Mytilus edulis: one gene and its partner. The protein of the gene in region 1 binds, or shares a complex with, the protein of each later gene. Links are inferred from orthologs where the notes say so. Each region holds a gene or a part of one and is shown on either strand. Other genes may lie near its edges.

What was found. The genes of interacting proteins can lie anywhere in the genome.
Region 2: integrator complex subunit 1-like (region 1) and integrator complex subunit 12-like share a complex: the UniProt entries of both Homo sapiens proteins name them as parts of the integrator complex. The link is inferred for Mytilus edulis from reciprocal best matches to the Homo sapiens genes INTS1 and INTS12.

The regions. Positions count from the first base shown.
Region 1 is NC_092352.1:85,420,780-85,431,470, forward strand, and holds the start of integrator complex subunit 1-like, read right to left. Parts: upstream 4,669-10,691; 5' UTR 4,556-4,668; coding exon 4,525-4,555; intron 1,396-4,524; coding exon 1,129-1,395; intron 207-1,128; coding exon 10-206; intron 1-9. UniProt on the Homo sapiens protein: Component of the integrator complex, a multiprotein complex that terminates RNA polymerase II (Pol II) transcription in the promoter-proximal region of genes.
Region 2 is NC_092350.1:30,143,902-30,154,559, reverse strand, and holds the start of integrator complex subunit 12-like, read left to right. Parts: upstream 1-6,444; 5' UTR 6,445-6,609; intron 6,610-10,112; exon of another isoform or gene 10,113-10,236; intron 10,237-10,658. UniProt on the Homo sapiens protein: Component of the integrator complex, a multiprotein complex that terminates RNA polymerase II (Pol II) transcription in the promoter-proximal region of genes.

The DNA of each region.
Region 1 (10,691 bases):
AAAGCTTACCTCTATTACAACTTCATTGTTAAACAAACTAGGTTTTTCTTTAGCTAGGTGCATCAGTGTCAGGTACATGGCTGTTTCTGGTTTAGATCTAAGTTGTTTAAGTTGTTTGACAGCTCCACAAATTAATGCTTCCAATCGTTCATCATTACACATATCCTCAGCCTCCAGTATCTCTTCCAACAGCTCAACTCCATCAACTATGTAATAAAGACACAAATAATTGCTAAGACCTCCCATGATGTCTTAATATTGTTATTATTAGCAAGCAAACTTTTTGCTTATCTACATAAACTACATTTTTTTTATATTGTAAAAACAAGCTTTAAAGGTATACTGATTGATTGAGTGTTGCTTGCTTAACGTCCAGTGGCAAATATTTCATGCATATTTAGGACGAGAACAAGTTCACAATAAATACAATAGGTAGGTCTTGTCACAAGAGAGGCCATCTGGGATAATGGTCGGGAAATTTGGACTGCCACTGGAAAATGAGGGTATATTGAATAGGGACAGAAATTTTGCCTTGCAACAGGCCACATACGGACCTATATATATATGTTTAAAGATTCTTATTACATTAGGTTGAGGGAAACATAAGTTTATAAAGGGCATAATTCAATTAATTAAGGTAAAAGTGATGCAAACAAATTCAAAGGAGTAGCATTTTTGACAAAAACCATCTAAAAAGTGACATATTATGGCATAACTGATAGATTTTTCATATTTAAGCTTGAATTGGAGCGTTTTCAGCAACTAAATCAGCTAAAATATTTACATATACTAATTGATTCGACTAAGTAGACACTTAAGTGCTTAAAAAGTGTCCAAAATCTTTCATCAGATGAACCTGAAATTTGAGGCCAAAATCAGCCTTTACCGGACCTACTCCTTTGATCTGTGTTTTGTGGTTATAAGCATTAATGTGTATAAGTTTAATAACATTTGGTGGAGTTAAATTGAAGTTAGTCTTAGAGATTGCCAACCAATTTTGGTACAACAGGGAAGTATTAATTTGCAACACTTATAAATTGTAATAAAAAGTTAACAGTACAAAAATGTCATTCAAAATGCCTTTATACAACTCAGATCCCTTTTCCAATTTGAGATTTTTAACTATACCTTCAACAGCCAGCTCTTCATATTGACTAACAGAACTAGGAGCTGGTGAACTCCTCCTATCAGTATCAGTTCTTCCAAGGGGAGTAAATGTCTGTCCATGAGATAAGATTTTTGGCTTCTTCACTGGAGGTGCACCAGAAATCCCTGGAGCACCCTCTCTTTTCTTTTCCGGCTTTTTACTGCTAGACTGTAATCTTGGGAGGTCACTGTCTGCTGGTGACTTACCCTTACCAAGTGCTATAAAGTCACCAGGAGGTGCAATATGTACTGCAAAATATAGAGAGAAAAATTATAAAATCAAATTGTACACAGAACTATTCACAGTGTAATGTTTCCTTTTTTGTCACTTTTGTTTTGACATGCCTTGTTTTGGAATTTTTATAGTATATAATGGGGTAGAAATCACATGTATATTTCCATTGCATGAAGGAAATATTCAGTTTTGTCCTTGGAAAGACATTATTGACCTAACAGATAGCCAATGGAATGTTGCATTAACAATGCTGGATAAGCAAAACAAGTTAACATATTTTTAGTGTATACTTTTTTGGTTTCACACTCAATGCAGTGTGATATATGCATATATGAACAAGAATTCTCTCTTCAAGCCAGTTTTAACACCACTTTTAAGCACCGCATTTAGGCTATTTCGTGGGGGCCAGTTTTTAATGGTGGACGAAGCCGGAGTGACTGGAGAAAACCATAGACCTTAGATGGGAAACCCAAACTACGAACAGTGGTAAATTATCCTGCAGATTTGATACAACTGTTCCCCAATCCCAATCTTAACAAAAACAAACCCTTTAAATGCACAGAGAGAAAAATCGGTTAAGCATAACACACGAAGGAGTGAATCTGCACCATTGCACATTTGAAACAATTAGTGCCATCAGACATTAAGATTAAGGATTGTGGATATACATGTACACAAATCTCAAGTTGGTTTACAATTTAAACAAATCTATAGGACTGAGTAACAGTTATTGATTGGCAAAATCAATCTGTGTACATGAAAATAGTTATCAAAGGTACCAGGATTGTAATTTAATACACCAGACGAGCGTTTCGTCGACATAAGACTCATCAGTGACACTCAGATCAAAATAGTTATAAAGCCAAACAAGTACAAAGTTGAAGAGGGTATCCAGTCATTCTGCCCCAAAACTGATCCAGCCCAAAGTCAATCCGGCCCATAGTTGTTCCAGCACACGTCTATCCGGCCCTATTATCATGATTATAAAATATGAATAAAATATGCTCACTATATGGAGGAATTTTTGACAAATTTGAACAGTATAAACGGAATTTGCAAAAAGTGTCGATGATGGATGACAACAGGTAAGTGAAGTATTGGAGTACCAGTTAAACTAAAGAACTATTTTAAATCGATACGAAACTGAGTGTTGTTGTGTCTGTTTGTATAGCAGCTCCAACATATTTTAAAATGTGAAGATATTTTCCATGTTGACTTTGAATGTCATCTTTGTCATGATGAATTTGAATTTATTTACTTCTCATACAGAGTAGCGAAATAAATATTTACAGTCCAATGAAACCCTTAAAATTTAACTCATCATGTCTTGTTTAACCAAATCATTTGTCAATAATTAGTCTATATATAATTGGTTTGTTTATTCAACAATTGTCTAATGATTGTGAACTAAGGTAATGTCACTCATAAATCACTTAATTCAATCAAATCCAATTGATTAAATTAATTAATTAATTGATTAATCAAAGTTACGTAAGCAACAAGGTCTTTATTGTTTGTTCTTTTGTTTGGTGTATATAATTATAAGTAATTGTATTTTTTTTCAGGTAACATCAGAGGCTTTTCTGGGGAGGCTATGGTTTTTTTTGGAAAAAAAAGTTTGTTTCCAGTTTTTGGAGAAAAAAATAATTTGTTTTTGATCAATGTTGATTCTGAGAAAAAAAATTTGTTTGTTTCACCCTCAGCTGCCACTAGATGTAATGCTAAAATTGAAAGAAATTTTTTTTTTTCGACTTGTCACGAAAAAAATAGATTGTTTTTGGCCGCAGGCGAAATAAAAAATTTGTCCAGAAAAAAAACCCATAGCTCCCCCCCAGAAAATCAAATGGTTGCTGCATTATTCCTTCTCTTGAAGCAAAAACCAAACAGGGTCATAATGTCCATCGGAACGTCTCTCTTTTTATCCTTGCAAACATACAATACTTACCGACTTTATATAGACGACCAATCAGCGGACTGCATTTACATGAACTATATTTAGTCAAAGATAAACACTCATTTACATCCTTGTTTATCGCAAGTTTAATCGTGGAAGCTGATGCATTGAACAATTATTTTTTAATATTAACCTGATTATCCTTTTTATCTTATTAATTTTTATTACTCATGCAAAAATAGCCAGCAGGAAAAGGACAATAACCGGCGAAAATCGCCGGCTGCCGGCTTCTAACGACATCACTGGGATCACAGTCAATTGAAAGAAAATGCTAATTACTGCTGATTAATGTTGATGTCTGAATTCTTTTATATACGTTTTAATATAGTTATACCCCATTATCTTGAAAACTTGTAATAAAAACATGATCAAACTGGTTGTTTTATACTCATCTAAAGAAAATATTTTTAAAAGGCCTTTTTTATTTTTTTTACGTACACCTTTTACATTATAATAAAAATCATAAACATTTATGAATTACTATTAATATATATATATCTTTATTTTTATTCCTGATGAATATATATTTTGTTGGGGCCGGATCAACGTGGGGCCGGATCGACGTGGGGCCAGATCAACCCGAAAGCGTTAAAGAGCAGTGATGTCATTTAATAAACAAATTCTTACTGTGATGTAGAATATTTATAGGAGAAAGTGCATGAATGCACCTTATCGCTATTGTCAGCTTTTACTGGACATCACACATGTTCCTAGTCCAACTAATTATGATGTCTTGATAGGCTGTTGGTATTATATTGTTTTGCTTTAGCACCTTTACAGACGTAATACGTCAAAGAAAAAAAAATATAATAGCTTTTCAAAATGTCATAATTATTTGGGCTATGACGTCAATAGTTCCAGCAGCACAGATTCTTAGGTCAATAGGCACAGATTTCCAAATAGCATTAAGGTTATTATACACATTTGAGAGGCTCATTTGTCAAATGTTGGTACGAACACATCTTACATGTATTTCCTACTTTTTGCATCTTCAGCAAATTATCCAATTCCAGAACCCTTACTGAGGGCTCTATTTTCTCATTCTCTTAGACCAATCAGAAAACAAAATGGTCAAATTGCAATATCTATTTGGAATATTTTGCAGAGAAAAGGGGGGTGTCAACCTTCGTAGTACTAATCCACAGACGGATATCGCAATATGGTTCTATTTTTTGTTTTGGTCTTTTACCTTTCCCTTTTGCTGGTCTTTTACCAGACATTTCAGCTGTTCATTTGTCTTACTTAAACGAATTACAAATAAAAGTTTCTCCTTTGCATTTGCCACCTGAAAGCGTTCAAACGACTTCGATTGAGCAACGTCGAGGAAGTGTTTATATTGACAATAACAAAAACCTGACAAACTCAGAAAATAGCTCTGTATATATTTTGTAAATATTTACAAATAGAAAAACACAAAGGTATAAAAATAACAGATATAGGTTTAAACAGCATTCTTCATTGATTGTTAAGATGTTTACCATAATGCTGATCAAAGTGCTTGGCATATGGCGTGGCTATGCTACACTGAACAAAGTCAGACATAATTTTTTTTTATATTTATAAACTAAAGTAAACAAATTATGTATATTTATTTTATTGTCAGTAGACTCTATGAGAAAGGTAGTAATTTCCTTTACCTTCAGACATCAAACTGTCATTCTCGGCTACTGTAACCCAGTGTTAGTCATGTTAGCAGAGGCGGATTTAGGGGGGCCTGGGGACCAGTGACCCCCCCTTTTTGGGGAAAATTTGCTTATATAGAGAATCACTGAAGCGTGACAGGAGTGGGCCCCCACTTATGAAAATTTCTAGATCCACCAGTGGTTAGTCATGTTAGTGTCAAATTGGTTGAACTTTTACCTTGATTTGTCAAAATATCCTTATCATGATGTCAGATGTCTCAACAAAATTTTCTTTAACATCATTTTTGGATTATTTTTTTAGAGTGATGCGTCAAAATCAGCTAGTCGAATATTTGATCGCCTAAAAGAAAGTGTAATTTTATTGTCATGCACTAAAAATTACTGTGAACGTGATTTGGCAAGAACTTTTATTGTTTATATTCATCATGAAGGTACTCCCATTACTAATCTCTACTAGAGGACTAAAGTGGGTCCCCTGATTCCAAAATTTCCTACCCCATATACCCACTCCCTTCCCCTAGGCTATATATAACTCTAAATTCCATTCTTCTAATCTTAGTATATATACTACCACTGGCACTTCACACCCCATACTCCAGCTAAAAAATGTGTCATGTATATTATCCCTTTTTATGCTACTTTGCCTCAAGTTTTTGCCCCTGACTAAATCGTAGTTCTGTTAAGAAACAAAAGTGCATAAATGAAAATATCGTAATACAGTATCACGAATTTGTATCGTCTTACTATATATACATTTTTTTTGTACAAGTCCTTGGTAAAATGAATATAATATGTATTTTTCATTGATCTGACAGTCAGTTATTGTCTGCTGTAAATAAATGAACAATTATATATAAGATAAGATATTTTTATTCCAATTAAAGGGCCCATGAAGAGCAAAACAATTTATTACAATGATTTTTATAATTGTTACAATAATGTTGACACAAATCATAAATATGAATTTAACTATTTCTTAGATGTTAATCTACAACCAGATCAGAGCCATATACATAAAAAAGGCATAAAATATACAATTTTGCCGCAAAAAAATCATTTAATTTGTAAAAAATTATTGTATCAAGCTATTGATACTAATTTTCTCAATATACATGTACAATCAACAAATGAAACTATGAATTTTAACATTATACATCATGTACATGTATATGTATTTCAAGTTAAATTATAAGCTACATGTCAGGACCTTGTAGTTCAGTGGTTGTGGTTTGTTTATGTGTTAATACATATTTTTTTTGGTTCATTTTTTGTACATAAATAAGGCCGTTAGTTTTCTCATTTGAATTGTTTTACATTGTCATTTCAGGGCTTTTTATAACTGGCTATGCTGTAGGGGCTTTGCTCACCATTGAAGGCTGTACGGTGACCTATAGTTGTTAATTTCTGTGTCATTTTGGTCTCTTGTGGACAGTTGTCTCATTGGCAATCATACAACATCTTCTTTTTATATGTTCATGTATCTTAAAAATATATCAATTGCAGTCATAACATATCTCCTTTATCAGTAGCCTATGACGTTTTGTAAAAGTCAAAGATAAAAAATACTTTTGCTTAGTGTTTCTGTCCTTAGTCTTTTTTTATTCCTCAAAATGAATACCCAAACTGTTTTATTTGGACTTTTAGCAAAGTGAATATAAGTGATCATCAATAAATTTCACAACATCATGTATTACCAATCTGTACATAGATTGTCTTCCTTCAAATGCAAAACATACAAATTATAAATAATGAGTTGTAGAACATGATATCCCTGTTTTCAAAGATAACCTTTTTTGCTGATAAAGTGTAAAACTAAACGATATATTTTATTTATCATAGATTTCAATAATGTTGATACATTTCATATTGAACAATTTTCTTATAAAATAAAGAATAACAAACAAAACATTAGCACAAACTGAGCAACTAAAAAACCAAGGAAGTTAATGATGTGTAATTTACTTCCTATATAATTTATACAATACAATATACTGTTGGTTAGGTCCGGAGTGATGGGTTACCCAATTGAACTCAAATAGACCATTACACAATTCGACCAACTGATTTTTTTTCTTCATCGTACTGCTGCTCTATAACATAGTTTATATCGTCAAATCTTTGATATCATATAATTAAAAAAAGAATGTATTTCATTTCATCAAGGATTTTTATCACATCCTTGATTTCATACTCACAAAGTTTCAGATGGTATTGATTAACCCAGTGAACAAGTATGTTCATTGAGTTTGAGTGCAGATGAAAAAGATCTTTAATTTATGCAGATCTGGATGATGCTCTCCATATTTGAAACAGTCTTCACGCTGAGTGGCACCCGAGACAGCCCAGGCTAGTAAAATTACTCTCGGCCTGTAAAAATCATATCTACAGGCCAACAGAATCTAATAAAAAAATTTCAAAAATTGAGCTCCAGGCCTGTAGTTTTTATAGTTCATCGTGAAGACTGTCATATTTGTCATATTTGTATACATATTTATTAATTGTTTAGGCCAATTGTCTATATATATAGTCTTTATTATTTTAAATGGTCATTGTTCTTTATTCTTTATATTTTAGAATCCTATTGTTTTTAAAATCATGAACATGTCTCAGTTTTCTTTATCCTATATGTTTTTGCCAAATTTTCTCCATTCTCTATTCTTAATGTTTTGTTCTTTATTCTCTATTCTGAAAGCCTCACACTATATGCAGCTTCCTGTAGAGGGATGAACATCAATTTCCTGCATAATTCATAGACAATAGACAATATTTATTAGCACAAACACATTTACATTAAGTGGTTTTGGCATGACATTATGTATAAATTGACAATAGTTAAATTGATTATAATTATATATGAATGACAGTGGTATTTACAGGGAAGAAGAAAAAGACTATAAATATCAACAGTTAACACATTATTAATGTTCATGAACAATTAAAAAAAGAACACAAACAAAAATTAGGTTGCATATTAAAAGAAATACAGCTATATAGATGTTCTCAATAAAAAACAATCATTAATATACTTTATGGTGATTTTTATAATGACTGGTAGACTGCAATTTAAAAGTGCAGTCAAATGTTTCAGTGTTATAGCAGACTGCAATTTAAATAAAATTGAAATTAAGATTTTTATTAATATTTTGTATATAGGTATCGGGGGATTCCCTCAATGATGTATAGCATGGACAGATTGAGAAGAAATGGTATTCATCCTCAATTTCTTGTCTGTTACAGGATAAGCATATGCGTTTACTTCTTTCAATGTTTGTATAACCCTCATTCAATTGCTAGAGAATGGGCACTTAGTTTAAATTTACTGAAAACTGATCGGTCAGTTTTGAGATTACATATATATCAATATATGGGGTCCTTTTTCTAATTCTTTTAGTATGACAAAAGAAATTTAAATTTCATATTTATTGATAGAGCAATTTATAATTTGATAAGCCTGGTCATAGATTCTTTGTTGGATAGTATTTATGTGATATTTTAAATTAATAGCATCAAAAGTGAGATGACCAAAACCTAATTTATTTAACCAGTCTTTAACAATGTTAACCCATTTACTTGTTTTCTCTACATTATTATATATTTTATGGACTAAAGTGTTAGGGGAGTTCACAATGTGGTTTAGAAATTTTATAGCTGAAAGCTGAATTATAAAGTACAAAGGGGTTCTGTTTGTCTCAGCTAAACAGGCTACATTTGTTGTTTTGCACTGTACTCCTAAAATTTCATATGTAAATGTTCAAATGGATCTGAATCTTTGAACACTTGGCTTACACCCCAAACTTCACTTCCATAAAGAGTTATTGAAACAACTAAAGTATCAAAATAATTTTTCAAGCATACTGCAGGAATTATCTAAGGAGACTGTTTTTTTTTATTTTAAACCAAGCCTTTCTTCCTTTTTCTATAAGATATTTTTTGAATGACTTAAACTTCCTGAACAATTTATAGTTATTCCAAGGTAACAATATGATTTAACAGTCTCAAGTTGTTCGTTTTCTACTTTAAAATAATTACAATGAGATTTTCCATTAGAATTGAATATTATAATCTTTGATTTTTGTTTGTTTACATCAAGTTTCCATAGGGAACAAAATTTAGTTAATTCTGTATAGCCCTTCTTGGGTTTCAGACAATAGAATAATGCCATCTGCATATAATAATGATGTTAGTTTGACATCTCCTATAATAATTGGTTGAGTGTTTGCATGATCAAGGTCATTTACAAGGCCATTTATATAAATATTAAACAAAGTACATCCCCTTGTTTTACTCCACAATTTGATATAAATTCATGGCTAATACCATTTTGAAATTTAATTCTGCATTTGTTTTCATTATACATTGATTGGATGACATTAAAAAGCTTGCCTGGAAGTCTGTTTTGGAGTAGGATGCAGCATAAACCCTCCTCCCTCCAGACAGTATCAAAGGCTTTTCGGAGATCTATAAACGCTGCAAAAACTTTCTTTTTTTTAGTCTTCTATAATTGTCTACAGAGAAGATATGATCTGCTGTTCTAGCTTTTTCTGTGAAGCCAATCTGATTTTCATTTATCAGATTAATTATTGGTGTTAATAAACTTCATAAGTCTAGTGTGTATAATTTTATGGAATAATTTTCCCAAATTAAAAGTCAATGAGATACCTCTATAATTAGAGGGGTTAGATTTGTTTCCCTTTTTATGAATTAAAGTAATCAGACTTTTGTTCCATAATTTTGGGAAGCTGCCTTTCATAAATACTAGATTGAAAAGTTTTGATAGGGGTTCTAATAATACTGACATACCACATTTAATCATTTCATTAGAAATTGAAACTTTCAAAATATTTATGCTTATTCTCCTGCCCCTTTTCCTCTGTCAATGGCTTGAATCTGGTTTTGAAATATTTGGTTTCAATATAACGCTAGAAAATAACCTTTTTTTTAATGATCTGATACACTATAAAGATACATGTTGTTGGATTTCATCAATGGAAATTTTTCACGATTGATGAGAATTGATGACGTATATCATAATGTCAATAGATATTAATGGTTATACTGATAAAATTTGTTTGTATACATGTATATGTCCACAATTGGGCTTAAGATTTATCTTTTATCTTTGACACCTAAATATTGGACAGTATTTGCAACAAAGCTATGCATCTGTTTATTTATTTACCCTTTTATTTGGATAGTATTTATAGAGACATGTACATAAATATCTATAATTAAAACATTATTTACAACATACATGTAAACACAACAAATACATATCAAGCGTTCTCTGGAAAATTTATTTCTTATTTGATAATCAAAGTTCACTTTTCAACATAACATATATAAGGCAGGCAATGAAAAATTATTAAATCATAGGAAAATTTTGTAACCATCTAGACTTTACACGGGGGGGTCTCAACATGGGATTTTGGGTACAGGTGTGCAGCTGGGATTTTAAAAACAACCCCCATTCATATATTGAATAATTGTGAAATCCCTACCTATACATATATTTCACAGCGAAATCATAACCCATTCATATATTTATCAGCTCAAATAGTACCTATATCGGTCAATTACTACCTATTGATATATTTCCTCGGTAAAATTGCACCCCATTGATATATTTGACAGATCAAAAAAGGGACCCATTCCAGCGGCACATATGTATATACCTTTATATAGGAAGAGACCCCCCCGTGAGACTTTAGGGTAT
Region 2 (10,658 bases), on another chromosome or scaffold:
TTTAAACTTATTTAAAGACGATTTTCCCTCTTTCAACTAACAAAAACTGTTTTTTTAGGGTCTTTGTCAAATTAACTATTATCTATAACACCTTATTTGTTGGCTTCCTTATTAGATTTATTTTTATGTTTGTTTGAATTTTTTTGTAGTTGTGTATGTTTACACAGTTTTGGCTGATGGATCTCTATTAATGTCTCATTTACCTATTATGAAATTGAGAATGTGAATGGGGAATGTGTCAAAGGGACAACAACCCGACCAAAGAGCAAACAACAGCCGAAGGCCACCAATGGGTCTTCAATGCAGCGAGAAAATTCTGCACCCAGAGGTGTGCTTCAGCTGTCCCCTAAACAAAAATGTTTACTAGTTCAGTGATAATTGACAACATACTAAACTCCAAAATATACACACAAGAAACTAAAATTAAAAATCATCTTTATAGATATAGATGCCTTATGTTATAAAGTTACCATCTGTCATATGTTCATTGTCCTTGACCTCATTTTCTTTGTTCAGTAACTACTTGTTAAAAAAAACCAATATTTTTAGTATCCTTAATTCCTCTCTTATTATAAGTACAATAGTGTAATAGGATAAATAATTCGGTATGTTCATACCATGCAGGTCCTCATGTCTGTCAGACAGTTTTAACTTGACCTTGACCCCATTTCATGGAATCAGTGAACAAGGTTAAGTTGTTGAGTCCATATCTCAGATACTATAAGCAATAGGCCTCCTATATTTGGTGTATGGAATGACTGTAAGGTGTATATGTTCATCTAGCAGGTGTCATCTGACCTTGACCTCATTTTCATGGTTCATTGGTTATAGTTGAGTTTTTATGTATTGGTCATTTGTTTTAATACTGTTTTGCAATAGGTCAACTTTATTTGGTGTAGAAAAATATTTTACAATTTGCAAGTCAGTCTGTTTTATTTGACCTTGACCAAATTTTCATGGTTCATTGCCCAATATTATATTTTTTTGGTCTGTTTTTCTAATATTTTAAACAATAGTTCAAATATATTTAGTTTATGGAATGATTGTAGGGTGTAAATGTTTCTGGCAATTATCATCTTACCATAACCTCATTTTCATGGTTCATTAATCAATGTTAAGTTTTCCTGGGTTAGTTTGTTTCTGTAATGTGCAATAGGTCAAATATTAAAAGCATATTTGGTATATGGATTGAATGTAACGTTTACATGTATTTCTAATTTGGTTTATCTGACCTTGACCTCATTTTCTTGGTTCATGTTAAATTGATGTGATAGTTGTATAAAAACTTTTAATTATACTCTTGTTTCATTATAACTGTCATACAAGTGGGAGGTTTAGCTAGCTATAAAACCAGGTTTAACCCAACTTCGTTGTGAATTTACCTTTTCTAATATGATGATCATGGACAAGCATATATATTAGTTAATAACAATAAAAGTTGCATCTTTATTTCGGTATTGGACTATTAATCTGCCAAGTAACTGCATGTATTTCTTTAGTATAGACTGACTGAAACAAAACAATGACAAAAATACACAAAATAATCTAGAAATCATGACTTTGATAAAGTACCACACATCATCGTCATATGTTTACTTAACACATAAAAAAAAAACTATGACATCTCAGACAAGACAACTAAGTGGATCTAATTATTCCTCTCCATACAGAAATCAAATAGACTTGACAACACTGAATCTGATAAAAAAAAATACCAACATGATACATTAGATATTCCCCAGGGCATACAGTACACTAATACTTTATTTCATATACATAGAATATTATTAAAAAGAATACTTAAGAAATAATTCATGGAAGCCATAGATTTGTTGGAAATTTACACATGGCCTGGGCCGTGATATTCGAATTTTATCCTGAGCGTTAGCGAGGGATAAAATTAACGAATATCACGGCCCAGGCCATGTGTAAATTTACAACAAATCTATGGCTTCCATGAATTATTTCGATTCTAATAGGACAAATACGATCATTAAAAAACTGAAGCGATGATGGGTATACCTTGTGTGTGGCTGTTCTATTTTACCCACTGTTCGATAAATGTAAAACAAATCTAATAAACCTGCATGAATGATTTCTTAACTAACCGCTAGAAAAAAAATGTGATTACTTTTTTTACTTCTCAGTAAACCAAACATTTGCATTTTAAATCTACATTTTTTATCGTAAGCTACCGTCAAATTCACTGTTGACATGTTGTAACCAAGGAGCCGCCATGTTGACTTGCTGAAATCAGTAAATTTGCGATTAATGCAATAGAACAGAAAACAAGCAACACCTACCTCAATACTTTATTTTAATGCAATTGTATCCGAGTTTAGAAGGTAAACGCAATAGAAAAACCTTCAGCTTTGACGTTTTCATTCGTATGACGTCATGTTTTGAAATGACGTTAATGCGCAAAAATCATTACTGGAATTTCGCGGAATTTTAATTTATTTTGTTTTTGTCCATTTTTCCGTTCTCTAATGTGTAAATTCTTTTTGTTATGCATCAGAATCAGAATAAATGTTCTGTAGGGTTTTATTCAAGTGTAATTGTTAATACGGCGAAATCAACAACCGTTTACACATAGGTTACGATACATGTGGATTTACGTGGGAGGCATATTTAAACAGCCATTTGTGTACATCTTGGAGTCTGCGCTAAGTATAGATATATCGAGAATTTTATCACGGTGTTGTTTACAAAGCGAAAGAAGCACGTCATATTAGAATAGTATCTAAAACACAGCCAAACAAGATTTTGATACGACCGCAAAAATTAAAAAAAATTTGGTCGTATATTGGTATCACGTTGGCGTCGTAGTCAGCAACGGCGTCCGAAGACTTTTGGTTTTCGCACTATAACTTTAGTATAAGTAAATAGAAATCTATGAAATTTAAACACAAGGTTTATGACCATAAAAGGAAGGTTGGGATTGATTTTGGGAGTTGAGGTCCCAACAGTTAAGGAATTAGGGGCCAAAAAGGGGCCCAAATAAGCATTTTTCTTGGTTTTCGCACTATAACTTTAGTACAAGTAAATAGAAATCAATGAAATTTAAACACAAGGTTTATGAACACAAAAGGAAGGTTGGGATTAATTATGGGAGTTGAGGTCCCAACTGTTTAGGAATAAGGGGCCCAAAGGGTCCAAAATTAAACTTTGTTTGAATTCATCAAAAATTGAATAATTGGGGTTCTTTGATATGCCGAATCTAACTGTGTATGTAGATTCTTAATTTTTTGGTCCCATTTTCAAATTGGTCTACATTAAGGTTCAAAGGGTCCAAAATTAAACTAAGTTTTATTTTAACAAAAAATGAATTCTTGGGGTTCTTTGATATGCTGAATCTAAACATGTACTTAGATTTTTGATTATTTTCTCAGTTTTCAAGTTGGTCCAAATTTGGGTCCAAAATTAAACTAAGTTTTATTTTAACAAAAAATGAATTCTTGGGGTTCTTTGATATGCTGAATCTAAACATGTACTTAGATTTTTGATTATTTTCTCAGTTTTCAAGTTGGTCCAAATTTGGGTCCAAAATTAAACTAAGTTTTATTTTAACAAAAAATGAATTCTTGGGGTTCTTTGATATGCTGAATCTAAACATGTACTTAGATTTTTGATTATTGGCCCAGTTTTCAAGTTGGTCCAAATTGGGGTCCAAAATTAAACTTTGTTTGATTTCAACAAAATTGAATTCTTGGTGTTTTTTGATATGCTGAATCTAAACATGTACTTAGATTTTTGATTATAGGCCCAGTTTTCAAGTTGGTCCAAATTGCGGTAAACTTTGTTTGATTTCAACAAAAATTGTATATATGGGGTTCTCTGATATATGCTTAATCTAACCATGTATTTAGATTTTTGATGTTTGGGCCCGGTTATCTGATTGGTCCACATTGAGGTCTAAAGGGTCCAAATTTGAACTTTATTTGATTTCAATCAAAAATTGAATTCTTCGGGTTCTTTGATATGCTGAATCTAACCATGTATTTAGATTTTGGATATTGGACCATAATAGGTAATGTCCAATTTAAAATTTAAAGTTTTAAAGTTTAAGTTCTTAGACCACATTCATCATGTGTCAGAAACCTGTGTTGTGTCAACTATTTAATCACAATCCAAATTCAGAGCTGTATCAAGCTTGAATGTTGTGTCCATACTTGCCCCAATGTTCAGGGTTCGAACTTTGCGGTCGTATAAAGCTGCGCCCTGCGGAGCATGTGGTTTTGTATAGTAAGCATCATCATTTAATACCAGCCTATTATTTTAAACTAAGACATTAAAAAGCTTCATAAAGACATCCAACCAACTTCAATTGTAGACGAGACTGTCTCATGACGTTATTCAATATTTACATCCTCAGTTTCTCGGCTTAGAATAAAAAAACGTATGCAGATTTACTACAACTTGCATGGCCGCATTTAAGAACAATTTAAGTCCAAACTGACAAATGATTAGGAATAATACAGTATTCAGGCCTCAAATATAACACACCTTTACACAGTGGCGGATCCAGGGGAGGGTTCCGGGGGTTGGACCCCCCTTTTTTTGACGATCAATGCATTTGAATGGGGATATATAGTTGGACCCCCCCCCCCTTTTTGTCCTTGGTTGGGACCCCCTGTTTACAACATATTGACGCAACAGTTAACTAGTGTATATCATTCATCTGGCAAAACATACAAAAATAGCTACAAGCCTATAAATTGCTTATCAAACGATAGTCGGACAAGCAATGTGGTATACTGTTGCACTCTTTGGGACCCATGCACATCAGAAAATACAATAAACATTCATATTGAAACAAGTGCGAAGAACAGCTACATGTTATCCCGGACACAAATCATTGAATGATTCTTGGATGCTTGACTTCCAGTGGCAAATATTTCAATACAGATCGATATTAGTTCACAATTGCTATGCTTTACAAACTCTAAATGTCTACCTCATAAATCCTTCAAAAAGGGAGATTAAAAACAAAGCTTCAAATTCTCATATAAACAATATACAATTGCTATACCAACAATCCTTTCCAAATGCTAATCCATTCTTGCATATAAGCCCTTCAAAGTGAAAATTTCATATCATAATTTGAGAATAAAACCAATTTCTGAATAAATATTGTCAAAAAATGCACAATGGCGGGATGACGCTTGAAAAATGTGCGTCGATGTATCCTCCTAAAATTGTAATACTTATATGCTTATAAAAGTCGTCATATCTATATGTCCAAAGGTCAGTTGAAATTTAAAGTCGAAATTTCGAGTACGTTTATAATCGAAATTTTGACGTCGAAATTTTTAAATATATAAAAGGCAAAATTTCAAGTTAAAGTCAAAACTTTGTGAAAGGAGTAGGTCCATTAAGACCCCCTTTTGGCCCCAAACCATAGCAGTTTTACATAATTTTTAAAATGTAAACTTTTGGCTATTTATTGGAAAGTAGAATGCTTATATTACATAAATATGGGCTGTTTTTTGACAATACAAATGATGCACATATATCGGATATTAACATCATTAAGTCATCGGATAAATAACTGAAATCTTATCAATTTTATAATTTGAGTTAGATTTTAGACGGTTTCCGTCTTCAAATGAAAGTGGCCGCATTTGTGTTCCTTTTTAATGACTTTTATTATGTTAGTTTCATTTGATGATATTACATAACATATACAAAGTTTGAGAGTGAACGTGATTTGTGACAAAACCATCTGAAAAGTGACTGACCAAATCAGTTCAAATCTTTCACATAAACTAATTGAATCGACTGAAGTAGATACTTAAGTGTTAAAAAAAGTGTCCAAATTCTTTCCGGGCATCAGATGAACCTGAAATGTGAGGCCATAATCGGCCCTTACCGGCGGATCTGACTCCTTTGACTGAAAGTTGAAATTTCGAGTATGTCGAAATGTCAAAATTTCAACTTTGTTAAAAAGTTCACCACGGATTCTTTTTGAAAAAGTTGACCCATCTCGTAGTGAGTTTAACATACGCTATCGTTGTTGAATATTTGTGTCACTTGGTTTGTTTCCTTTTCTTTTTTTGGCATTTCGTAACCGTGACCGGTCAGTAAACCAGCTGCTTAATTCTAAATGTTCTGTGAAGTGATTTGTTCATTTTCGTTTTATGTTCAAGAAGCTCTATGGCCCTATAAATGGATTTTTCTAGAATCAAAATCAAATCACGTAATTTATAAATTGTTTTCTATTTCGGTTGGATATAAAAGTGAAATATTTGTCACTGGACGTCACACTATTAACCAATGTATTTTTATCTTTCATAATATTGTGCAAATTCTATAGACATGGTACTTTGAATAAAACTTTATGATTGGTTTACAATATGTTTGATTTTGTTTGAAAAGATATTTTCATAAAATGATTAACACCACTCCGCTTGCTGTTCATCTCAATCTGAACGTAACCGTTTCGGGGTTTAGAAAAGTAACTTCCGGTTTGTGGAAATTGTAAAAAAAGTAATTTATCTGTTCATCAAATGTTACTGTTTTGCAGTAAATGTTAGTTTAACTGACGTATTTATTACTGACAGTCACTTCTGTGGGTAGATTAATAGCAGCATTAACATTATCTAATCGGTAAGTCTAGGATAGCATTATACAACAACAATGTTCAGGCTAACTGCTGAGGCTAACTGTTACTCACAGGCACTTGTTTCTGTCAATATGATTATCAATATGGGGTTTTCTATATATGTAAATCCCATATTGACAGAAACAAATGCCTGTGCTGTTACTCACATCTCAGTTATAAAATAACATGCAATAAATAGAAATTTTCTGAAGAAAACCATAAAATTGATTTTTATGCATTTCAGGAAAAAAAGAAAAAAAAGACATTATGGTATTCATGGAATTTACTCATAGAATGACTTGTTGTTACGCATACATGCATATACAGGGTTCTCGTAAAGACGCGTATACACATTCTGGATGCATGGCAATCAGTGGCGGATCCAGAAATTTTCATAAGTGGGGGCCCACTGACTGACCTAAGAGGGGGCCCGCTCCAGTCACGCTTCAGTGATTCCCTATATAAGCAACCAAATTTTTTCCCAAAAAGGGGGGGCCCGGGCCCCTTCCCCCTAAATCCGCCTCTGGCAATCGAGCAGGATGCATAATTTTTGAAACCCATGAATTCCTGGGACGCGTCCTGATTGTATCCCCTGAGTCCCAAGATGAGTGCTAGGAGAATAGTTAAACTTGATATATATAATTTCATCTACACCAATTTAATTAACATCTATAGGCGAATCCAGGGGACCCTTTTGGCAAATTTGGTTGCTTATATAGCAGCGTATTCATTAAGAACCGATTGCCGATTGAAATGGTCGTTTATAATCAAATTCCCATCGGTTGTTTTTCTGATGTCAAAAAAATATAAATCGTACTTTTAGTTTTAGATCGTCGGTCACTATCTAGGACAATCAAGAGAAATATATAACGGCATTTCTGATTGGTTAATAAAATTGAATTTCCGGTAAAATAGATCCTGGTTGTTGATTTCGCTGCAAAGTACTATAAGATTTTGTACTGAAACCAGGAAAAGGATGCATTCATAGTAATAACGAGATTTTGTAACCAGTCAATAGCATAGTCAGAGAAATGAAAATAATTTCAGATTTTTTTCAATCAACAACAAAGTGAAAAAAAGTTTTGTTCTATGACATTTGCATTCAAATAATTGAGACACCCTCCTTGGTCATGTTCATGAAAGTGCATGATCGTGGTCCTACCATGAAATGAAAAAAAGAGCAATGTCTTGTCTCGTAAAAGCAGACATCACATTATTATTTTCATTAAGTGATATTCACTTTCTTGTTTTCAAGTGATAGAGCCTCTTAACAGCAGACTCTTTATTTTTACCATAAATCATAAATCATATGTTTACCTGTCCCATGGCCTTTCTTTTGAAATGAAAGAAAAAAATGTAGAGATAGCTCGTTTGCATGTCATTGTGTAGCTTCAAATAGAGTCATAAATACTAGGACTAGGAGCATGCCACCACCTGACACAATCATGCCCTGACTAACCTGATCCAAGTAATAATAATAAAAAGTGAGGATGAGGATGAGGATGATGTCTCCCTATGATTATAAAGAAGTGTGAGTCTTGCATTATGCATTCAAGGATGTACTTTGACCAGGTTCTGGAATTTCTGTCAGATGTTTAATCTCTGGGTTTTCCCCTATGATACAGGGTAAAATATTTTGACCTATGACCATGATAATCCCATTTTTCCTTTCTTTAATAAAAGACTTCAATTATTAACTCACAAAAACTCATTTTAATACCAAAATGTAAGCAGATCTTAGATTTCTTTCTTTCCTTTTGTTTGCTTCTTAACTAATGCTCTTCTGAATTATGGTATCAATTTTATTTGATTATTGTAATTTCACCAAAGTGCATCCTTTTTGCCTTTAAACAACAGTCCATTGAATTCATCATTTGATTTATTGTGATAAGTATTTGAAATTATTAATACTGAAAAATGTTTTCTATGGGTTAGAACTATTTGAATAATTGCATGTCTACAGTTAAATTAAAAATATTTTCAACTAATAAAATCAAATTTAAATCTTTTCCTGAATGATCACCATGTCTTACAGAGTCATGCCTTCATTATTTTCCTCAAAAACCTGCAAACAACTTCAATAACTTGTTAGCTGAAAGTCTTGATGATATGTGATCAACTTTATAGAAAATATGACCATCTTGCTGCTCATTTACCTTATCATCATTAAAAAAATGGTGTTTGCGAAGAACAAAATTAGAGTTCAGGAGCCCCCCAGGGTGCAGGATTTTGCACCATTTTAAAAAAAAATTCAGACCCCTCGCCGTGAAGGGCAACGAGCAAGCTCGTCGCGCCGAACGGCTACGCCGTCCGCCGGTGTTGCCTGCTACTTTTATTATTTAACCTCCTACTTTAAATCTTATTGACAACCCTGTATAGGGAATCACTAAAGCGTGACTGGAGTGGGCCCACCTTACAAAAAGTTCTGGATCTGCCACTGATTAGAAAAGGGTGTAAAGGAGATGGGGTTAATTTGTAAAGTTATTCTATATTTTTTTGGGGTTATTTAAGTCTAGTATAAGTATCTTAATCATTACTGGACCAAATGTCCAGTTTATAACTAAAAAATCACCAATAAGAACAAAGAAAACTTCTTTTACTGAGTTTATTATTAAATAGTCAATTAACATTCCTCCTCCCCCACCCCAAAGAAAAAAAAAGAAAAACATAACCTACCTTTAGACCCAGTCTTTTATATGGCAGTCTGGCTTTGGCAAACCAACATTTTTTTAAAAATGTGGCCATACACCAAGAATTGATATATATATATATTATGAAAACTACAAATCCGACAAGCATCGTTTTAGTTTTATTTCGTCATATTTCATTTTATTTAGACACAAAAAATTACATACTTCCTGGACTCATCAAAATCTTTTGGGACTCACCATTTTTAAAATTGATGTGTCCCAGGACTCACCTTGAAAAATTCCTAGTGAGAACCCTGATATATATATTTTGCTTATATGTTGTTTGAATATATTACTGTCTGCAGGGACCCACTCAGTGGCGGATCTAGAAATTTTCATAAGTGGGGGCCCACTGACTGCTCTAAGAGGGGGCCCGCTTCAGTCACGCTTCAGTCATTACCTATATAAGCAACCAAATTTTTTCCAAAAAAGGGGCCCCCTGCCCCCCCCCCCCCCCCCCCCCCCCCCACCTTCATCCGCCTCTGTCACTGACTGCCTAAGAGGGGGCCCGCTCAGGTCATGCTTCAGTAATTCCCTATATAATAAATCAACCAAATTTTTACCAGAAAACGAGGAGGCCTGGGCCCCCTCTAAATCCGCCTCTGGTCTGTACATGGATCATGCCTCTATTGTAGTCTTTCCAATAAATATCTAATTGAATGGTCTATAAGTTCATAAAAAGGGAAAACAGTGGCAGTGTTTACACCACAAAATTTTCTATGAGTACAGACAAACTAAGTAATGCATCAAGGAAAGTGTTAAGGCATAGCAGGACCTAGATACATTTATATAAAAGTTATATGTTGTCTATGTTTCAGAAAAATAAAGACTACTACCTTGATTTTGATGAGCATTTTTTCCGGTCTGAAGAAGGTAGCAAGCTAAGATATTAGATAAACAAACGCATACGTTTCATTTGATATGGTCCACTCAGTTACACAGGTAAAATCATCTATTGTTTGCAGACATCTGTTGTCCATCTATTGTCCATTTAAATCGGTACTACTCACAACATTATTTATATGAGGGGAGCTTCTCAAACCTCAGTGGCGGATCCAGGGGGGGGGGGGGGGGGGGGGGTTCCGGGGGTGCGCACCCCCCCTTTATTTTTGCCGATCAATGCATTTGTATCGGGACATATGTTTTGCACCCCCCCCCCTTTGCCCTGGGTGCCCTGGGTTAGCACCCCCCCTTTCGAAAATTCCTGCATCCGCCCCTGAACCTCTTTCCCAACTTAGATTTTTTTGGCGCCATCTGTGGGAATGAAAAAAAAAATGAATAGTAATATCCAGAAAAGTTATAAATTTTCTGAAACTCAAAATCTATACTTCATGTACATGTACTACATGTACTAAATCTAAAGA